Drosophila melanogaster: one gene and its partner. The protein of the gene in region 2 interacts with the protein of the main gene of each other region in a pairwise test. Each region holds a gene or a part of one and is shown on either strand. Other genes may lie near its edges. The genes, in order: CG4866 and CG13097.

What was found.
Region 1: the proteins of CG13097 (region 2) and CG4866 interact in a two-hybrid assay, tested with the Drosophila melanogaster proteins (one large-scale study listed by BioGRID).

The regions. Positions count from the first base shown.
Region 1 is NT_033778.4:17,516,390-17,519,663, reverse strand, and holds CG4866 (uncharacterized protein), read right to left. Parts: upstream 1,442-3,274; 5' UTR 1,374-1,441; coding exon 1,237-1,373; intron 1,181-1,236; coding exon 969-1,180; intron 912-968; coding exon 715-911; 3' UTR 637-714; downstream 1-636. Other genes in the region: APC10 (anaphase promoting complex subunit 10), read left to right, coding at 1,555-1,693, 1,753-2,201; CG4853 (uncharacterized protein), read right to left, coding at 2,560-2,809, 2,874-3,079, 3,136-3,274.
Region 2 is NT_033779.5:8,511,475-8,516,618, forward strand, and holds CG13097 (uncharacterized protein), read right to left. Parts: upstream 3,395-5,144; 5' UTR 3,281-3,394; coding exon 3,186-3,280; intron 3,119-3,185; coding exon 1,372-3,118; intron 1,266-1,371; coding exon 1,119-1,265; 3' UTR 700-1,118; downstream 1-699. Other genes in the region: CG13096 (uncharacterized protein), read right to left, coding at 1-294; PIG-U (phosphatidylinositol glycan anchor biosynthesis class U), read left to right, coding at 3,679-3,808, 3,869-4,493, 4,556-4,827, 4,888-5,141.

The DNA of each region.
Region 1 (3,274 bases), on a different chromosome or scaffold from region 2:
GGGAAATCCACTGTTCTTTTAGATTTCTTTTTGCAAAGTCAGATGCACGACGAGCAGTCCGACTCTAAAATCTCTACAAATTGTATTGCACTTCTAACCACACTAGAACCATTTCGAATGCATTTGCTTCTTATGCCTGAGCCTGGCTTGAATCGACTCGTCTAACTGCCATCGATCTTACTTTTAACTTTGTTCATTAGTCACTTTTTAGACCGCTCAACTGTTCGATGCACCTGCCTGCACCTTAGTCCCTAACCACAACCACACTCATCTCGTTTTATAAATAAAGCGACCGATCAATCCCACGCTGGTATCTTATAATTTATTGTGTACATCCGCTGGCTCTCACTTGTTTCCAAAACTGATATTACTTTAACATCCGCAAGGTATTTCAACACGATTGACTTTAGATAGCGAAGTGAGGGTAAAAACTAATAGAGCATAATCCAACTGAACCGCCATTATAAAATGATTCCGAGCAGATCGGTAATTCGGGGGATCAGGATAAAATAAATATGTATATGTATGTGCGTGTCGGCGCAGTTGTGCCCTTGGCGCAATTCGCTCCGGAATAATGAATATTAATGAGATCTAAACATTATTATATAAAATGTAATAAAGTTATTGAACATGATTATTTAACAAAGTCTTAGTTGGTTTTATTGCAAGTTAGCTTTAGTTACTCTACTGGTTATCTTAAGGGAGGTAGTCTCTCTACATTTGGAAATCGTCACGCATGTCGTTGTAGCGGAGTACATGCTCCTTGATCTTGGAGCCATCCACCCAGGTGACAAAGTCCTCGAGGTTTCTGGAGACCAGAAAAGCAGGATCCTTAATCATTTCCGGACCAACACGCACATGACCATGCTCTATGAGGTCTGTGGCCGCTTTCAGGTGCTCCGACATTCGAACTGCCAACGGAAAATGGTTATATGAAAATGAAGTGCTTATTAAGGGATGGTACTCACGTTTCACCATGATCACGGGTAGACGACGTCGGCAAAAGTGGCTGGCAGATATCTTGGCCGCCGTTTCCAAAGTAAGCTGATCATTGGAAACTCCCATGGCGTGCAGCTTGTTTAGGAGCATGGTGGTGGCCTCCGTCTTGAAAGGTTCTGAAGCATCCAGCTTAGCTATCCTCTCTGCCAGTTCCCGTATCTCCCTGGACAACTTGTTATACCTAAAAATTAACAAATTTAATGGGGATTTAAATACGTGAGCAATTTGGTCTCTTACTTGGTGTAGTCCTCCCTTTTTTGAATGTGAAAGCGCCTAAGGATTTTGTTCTCCTTGCCGCCGTTGTCCACTTTCCAGGTGATGAAGTCCACCTTTTTAAGCAGCTTCTGCTCATGAAATTTGAGTTTACGAACCATTTTTATTTATATTATTTTGCAAATTAATTTTTTGTTGACGAACTACTCGCACATGTGCTGCGCAGTGTGACCAGAGCACGCACAACTGCAGCACCATAAAAACAAACAGCTGATTTGTGCGTCTTCAAGCGGCTTCTGTATAATAAAATTTAGATAGTTTTTTAAAATCGTAATTGCTGCAATGGCAGCCTCAATGGATGAGGATATAACCGCCAACCCGCCCCCAAGCAGCGAAGAGGACCCCCTGGCCGAGGAGCGCCTAGGCTTTGTGCGGGAAGTGGGCGCGCAGGCTGTTTGGAGCCTCTCCTCCTGCAAGCCGGGTAACTTTTGGTGTAACTACGTGATCCTTACATATTCTACAATTTTCTTTGGCCTTCAGGATTTGGTGTAGAGCGTTTGCGAGACAACATCATGGATACTTATTGGCAGTCGGACGGTCAGCTTCCCCACCTGGTCAACATTCAATTCCACAAGCGTACGAACATCAGTCAGATTTACATATACACGGATTACAAGCTGGACGAGAGTTACACGCCATCAAGGATCTCCATACGATCTGGAACGAACTTCAACGACTTGCAGGAGCTGCAGGTGATGGACCTGACCGAACCCACCGGCTGGGTGCAGATACCCATTAAGGATGGGAACGTCAAGTCCATACGCACCTTCATGCTTCAGATTGCTGTGATCTCGAACCACCAGAATGGCAGGGACACCCACATGCGCCAGATCCGCATCCATGCGCCCGTCGAGGGCAAGCACTATCCTCTGGAACTGTTTGGCAAGTTTGGAACGGTCGACTTTCAGAAGTTCGCCACCATTCGTTAGGGAAAACTTTGGGATTTATCGAAGTCTTTTATTTTTATGTATTTTTCGGGGTATATAACTGCTAAAATACAACATTTAAAACATTACTTTAGTAATTTTATGCATATTTTTGGTGTTTCTAATTAAATGCCCGTCACTTGTATATATATAATTCGAATGCAAATAAATATATACCGTCGTCTAAGCTTAAGTACAAATTAACAAACACAGTGGAAGTGTAAGAGTTATTATTGTTACTGTTTTATCGCGATACAAATGCAAAATGTGAAAATGGAACGCCAACGAAAGAGTGCGAGAATTATTGCATCGTTTTGTATTGTATTGCACTATCTCGAGGATTGTCGTTAATGATTGGTGATTATGTGTTCGATTTCCTTGCAGCTTTCAACGTCTTGTAGTGATCCTTCTCCTCGCCGGTCTCGGGTGGCTCGCTTTCGTAGGAGGCCTTCATCAAAAGATCCTCGCTCAGCACCTCCGCCTTCAACAGGTAGGACACCACACTAGGCAACTGCTCGTATGGACAGTCCAATCGCTGCCATTTGCCAAAATTCCGCAGCTGGGTGCCCAAATGAAGGCACTTCTCAAAGTTTATGTATCCGTTGGCCAATCTGCAAACGGATTTGAATTCGGTTAATCTCGAAACAGAGCTCATTTATGCACAAACAAACTCACTTTGTTTCATGGCTCTCGTTAATGGCATGCAAATCTTTGAGGAACAGCGAGAAGAATGGGATGATGGCACGCTCAATTTCGTTGGCCATTTCCCTTTCCGAACGCCAAACAGCTGCCTTCATGGTGGATCTGTAGTTAAGAAAGTTCGAACTGGGATCCATTTGATGCTCCAAACCCTCGAACTTTGTCGTCTGCACTTTGGCCCACTATAAAAAATAGTAGTAAAATCAGACTTCACTCGTTTTACTTAACGAAAACTCACCGTTTTCTTTAGGCGAGCTATGGCAGTAAGATTCAATGCTGTTAGAATGGCCATCAAGCTGTTGAAGTTGCCTGTGTTAAAGCATTCCAGAGCTGTTTCCACCCAGAAGTCGATCATTTGTGCTCTCTGGGACTTTTTG
Region 2 (5,144 bases):
CTTCGCCGCTGGTGCGGGGGCAGCCGGCGACTCAGGAGGAGCCAAAATTAGTGGGCGCTTGGCCGCTTTTGACTGCTTCTTCTCGGCTCCCTTCTTGGACACCTCCGGCTCCTTCTTGATGGCATCTTTTTTCACCGGAGCCGCGTTCTTTGCCTTTTTGTTGCTGGCCAACTCCAGAGTAGCGTCTGTGGCCAGTTTCTTGGTCTTTTCCGGTTTACCCTTTTTCTTAACCACGCCCTCGATGCTGGCGCTCTTGTTCAGCGACTTGGGCTGCGGTTTCTGTACTTTAACCATATTATTTTTTGCTTTTTTGACAGATGCGTAAAAACTCGAGCAAAACTATATTTAAAATGCACCACAACCACACGTGCTACGCTTTAATATCGATATGTTCAGAATCGCAAAACGTAGCTACAGTCGATATCGGGAACTATTTTCATTACCGATGTCTCAGGCACGGTCACAACTTTAGCCAATACACACCCCCTTCGCAGGGCCGAGCACCAATAGCAGCTGTTTCACCAAAACCGATTGGAAAATTGACCGTTATAGCATATCGATTTCGATTTGTATCCCATCTCTATTTCTCCCTTAGAAGATAAAATTAAATTTTTTAATTTTGTAATGTAATATAGAAATTATGATGATGATTATATGATTGAGTATTTCTACTCTAATCCAACAAAAAAACAAGTGGCTACGTTACTTGCTTTGCTTTCTTTAATTAGGGTACTATTTACATAGCAAACAGTTATTTTAAGTAAATAATTCTAAGAATAGTCAAATTCCGCAAGCTGCACGCGTGCCTAATCGCCTCAACAGGACACAGAATGTCCTTGACTCACACGCCGCCACACACAAAGCGCCCACGCATCACATACACATACGATGGATCCGCGCACATGGAACATTAAAAGTACCGACACATGGCATCTCCCATGGAGCACCAAATTGGGGACTCCCCAGACACACAGTACATGCTAAAGATATTCTTGCAACAAGGATTGCTATGTGGGCATACGTGTGTGCTTGTGACAACTTTCTGGCACGTGACTGGAGACGAGAAAACTTTGCTGGCTTAAGGCAATTACAATATGAAGGAGTCCTAGCGTGTACGTTTAAAGCTTCAGCTTCTTGGCATCCGCCTTGGCGGTATCCTTTTTCGGTCGCTTTTTGGATGCTGTAGCCGCTGCGGTATCCTGCAGTTTGTGGAAGAAAGCCTTTGAGGACTTCAGAGCTCCCTGGTCGTTGCTGCTGGCATTGATCTGCAAGAAAATCGTTTAAAGTTTGATTCATTTAGAATTCAAAATCGCTCAAGAATAGCAATTAAATACAAAACATAAAACAGAGATAAACTAAAATGTTATATACCTTTTGAACATTGCGATTCTTGGTGATTGTCTTGAGCAGCTTGGCATCCGCTTCCTTCTTTGTGGGCGCCTTGCCCTCCTTGGCTCGCTGAAGCTCGCGCTGCTCCAGAGCCGAGTGGATGGCCCGCTGCTTTTGCTTCTTTTTGCGGCGCTCGCGGTTCTTATCCGTTCGATCGCGTTCGGTCTTGCCAAGTGGAGCGTGCTTGGGTCCGCGGAACACCTCCTCGGGTGCCAGCAGCTTGGCATCGCTCACCGCCAGCGGGGCCACCTCTTCCATGTGAACTGCTGGTGTGTTCGTTACGATCTTGATCTCCGGCGCCACCGGTTTCGGCGTGAAGTGGAAATTGGAGAGGGCGTCCAATTTAAGGAATAGGGAACGCATTGCCCGCTTGATTTCTTGGTGTTCTTTCGGTTCCGGACCAGTTTTGTCATCGGCATCGCGATTGGGATCGAGTTTTTCCATTTCGCGCTGATACTGCGCCTCGTAGATCTGCGACAGCGATTGTTTTGATTTCTCCTGGTCAAGCACAAGTTGTTTTCTGTACTCTTGCGGGGTGTTCACCGGTCGCACAGTGCGCTCCACATCGTCCCATGCTTTGTCGCGAATACGCTGCTTAATTATGTCCTCGATGGAGCGGTTATCCTCTTCCGTGATTGGCGCCGTTGGCCTGGTGGTCGAATCGAAGTCGAGAATCTCCTCAAGCAGTGAGTTCTGGGGCCGATTGGCTGCCTTTACTTCGCCTTTGAGCTGCCAAGGCTTCTCGCCTAGGACAATGTCTTCGTAGTCGCGGATGCGTTGAAACAAACGAGCCTCTCTCATCTCATTGGATGATTGGGACGGTGGCTCTGTGGGTTGTGGCTCCTCCTCTTCTTTCTCCGAATCCGAGTCTGAATCGCTGGCAGGTTCTATGCCACTTTTTGCCACGAATTCGGATTCATCTATTTCGCTGGCCGCCTCATCTGGATCTTGATCATTTTCAGGTTCATCATCGCCCTCGTCTCCTTCGCTTTGATCAGAATCGCCCTCTTTGGGATTTGCATCCTCATCCGGTTCATTTTCATTTTCACTCTCGTTTTCATTGAAGAAATCTTTCTGCTTGCCTTTGTTAATCTTTTTAGAATGCTCTGTCAGTTCCTCATTCATGTCAAAGAAGTCCGCATAGTTGACATTCCCCTCCTCATCGTCCTCCTCATCTTCGCCAAGACCAAAATCCTCTGCGAAATGATCTATATCATCGGCCTGCTCAACGCGTTTCTTGCTGTTCAGGCGGCGCATCTCCTTGGCATCCTCCTGCTCCAGGAACTCATTCATCTCTTCCAACTTGAAGAAGGTATCGTCCACCACAGAGTTGCGTAGTCGCTTGTTTCGTTTGTCTTTCGGCGGCGCGGTCTTCTGCTTTTGTAGCCCTCCATCCTCGTCGCTGAAGTCTGATTCCTCATCTTGTTCCTCATCGCCTGAGTCTTCAGCTTGTATTACTTCGTCTTCTTCCTCTATTTCTTCACCATCGTCCAGTTCAATGCCCAGGTGCTGCTCGCGCATCGCCGTCAGCCTGGCGGTTTGCTCCAGCACCTGTTGGAACACTAGTTCGTTGCGAATCTCCAGTTGCTGCCAGATCTGCTCCTCGTCCATTTGCTCCAGCACCAATTCCGGCAGCAGTTCCTTCTTGTTCGCCACATCCTCGCTGATGCTAACGGCGTATGTCTGCTGGATAAGCTGCTCGATGGCATTCACTTGTTCCGGCTGTGGCCTGAAATATAAATTGTTTTGACTACGTTTGAAAAAACACGTGCGCGGTCTTTGGAAGGAAAACAAACTGGAGAAAACGCTCTGGATTCTTGGTCAGCTGCTCGAAGTTCTCTGCGATTTCCTTGAAGACATTCGCCTCCTTGGATTTTTTACTTCCAATCATTTTTACTACTGCTTTCTGTGCTTAATTAAATGAAATATATATTCCAACAATTCGAGCGCAAGAGCGGGTCCAAAAACAACAACCAGTTGGTGAGAGATGGAACAGATACATAGAGATGAGCGCGTGATACAAGTACAAGTTTTTCCAAGCTTAAAAACTTTATGCGAGTTGGAATCCTGTTTTGAGCCAAAATTTGTTATTCCAAAAATAATAAATATATTTAACTTGAAGAAAACAAAGCTCTAAAAAAAATCATAATTGCTTACACAGTAGACCAGAAGCCGTATATCGTGACAAGGAAATCGATAATTTATCGAAGGCCTTTGCCACCACCAAGCCAGCTGTAGGCGGCTTTTTACAGGCGGAGTCCGTTCACAAAAACTATGCCCAACTAGAAGATGGATTCGAAGTTCTTTAAACTGCTCCTGCTGGGCGGCGCCGTGCGCTTCTACTTCTGTCGCACGCCGCTGGCTCCGATGATTGGCAACCGAGTGGAGTTCGCGACACCTTTAAATTCACACAAGCGCAGTAAGTAAACAAAGTAGACATCAAATAGATGAACAAGTCTGAATGGAGTTATTCTTGCAGTGCAAGAGGGGATATTTCTTCTACAGAGTGGCATTGATCCCTATCTGGGCGACCTGGTACACGAATCGCCGCTGATACTCAGCGCGCTCTCCGGATTGTTTCAAAAATACCCGCAGTTTCTGCCGATATTCTACATAATCCTGGATATCTGCACGGCGGCCCTGCTTTATGCGATGAGTCTGAGATTCGTCAAGCAAAAGCAGGATCAGCAGGACAAGGAGCGAAAGGAGTATGCCAAGGATACGGAAGAGCTGCAGTTTGGCCCGCTGGACAAGCTTGACATTCCGGAACTTGTGATCGTGGCATATCTTTTCAGTCCACTGACTGTTATGAGCTGCATTGGAATGACCTCCACCGTGATAAGCAATCTGTTCCTGGCTTTCTTTTTCTACTGCCTCGTGAAGGGAATGCTCATTCCATGCCTTCTAGTCCTCGCGTTCGAAACTGTCCGCAGCTTCTATCCCATTGTACTTATAGCACCACTGCTCCTGGTCTTTTCACGGAATTCGGTCAGGAGGGGTGTGGCTATAGCGGCGCTCTTTATCGTCAGTTGTCTAATCGTGGCAGTTGCGAACTATTTTGTGCTGAACAGCTGGAACTTCCTGGATGGAACGTTGGGTTTTATGTAAGCAAGAACTATCTTATTAGTTATCTGTTTGTATTTTTACGTATTTAACTATCTTACAGATTTTATTTCCGCGATCTACAGCCAAATATCGGTCTCTTCTGGTACTTTTTTACTGAAATGTTTGAGCACTTCCGCACCATGTTCCTAATCACATTCCAATTGAATGCCACCGTATTATACCTGGTGCCACTAAGTATTAAGCTGCGCAAGGAGCCCCTACTGCTAGCCACGGTATTGGTGGCCCTTATGGCCGTTTTTAGGGCGTATCCCAGCCTGGGCGATGTCGGCTTTTATCTGGCCTTGCTTCCGCTGTGGAAAAGATGTTGGAAATGTAAGTTATCTGGCTCACGTAGTTATTTCAACTGCTAAGCACTTTGGTAATTTCTTTCAGTCATGGCCCATGGCTTTGTGGTCTTTACGTTCTTCCTGGTCACTCTATCTATGATGGGAGCCCTTTGGCATTTGTGGATCTATGCAGGATCGGCAAATGCCAATTTCTATTTCGGTGCCACTCTTGCGTTTTCCACTGGGCAGATATTTCTAATCACCGATCTGCTGTTCGCGCACGTTAAACGTGAGTTCTGCTTGTTCAATGGTCAGAAGATTCTGATCGATGGCGAGGAAGCGAGGATAGTCTTAAAGTAAGCA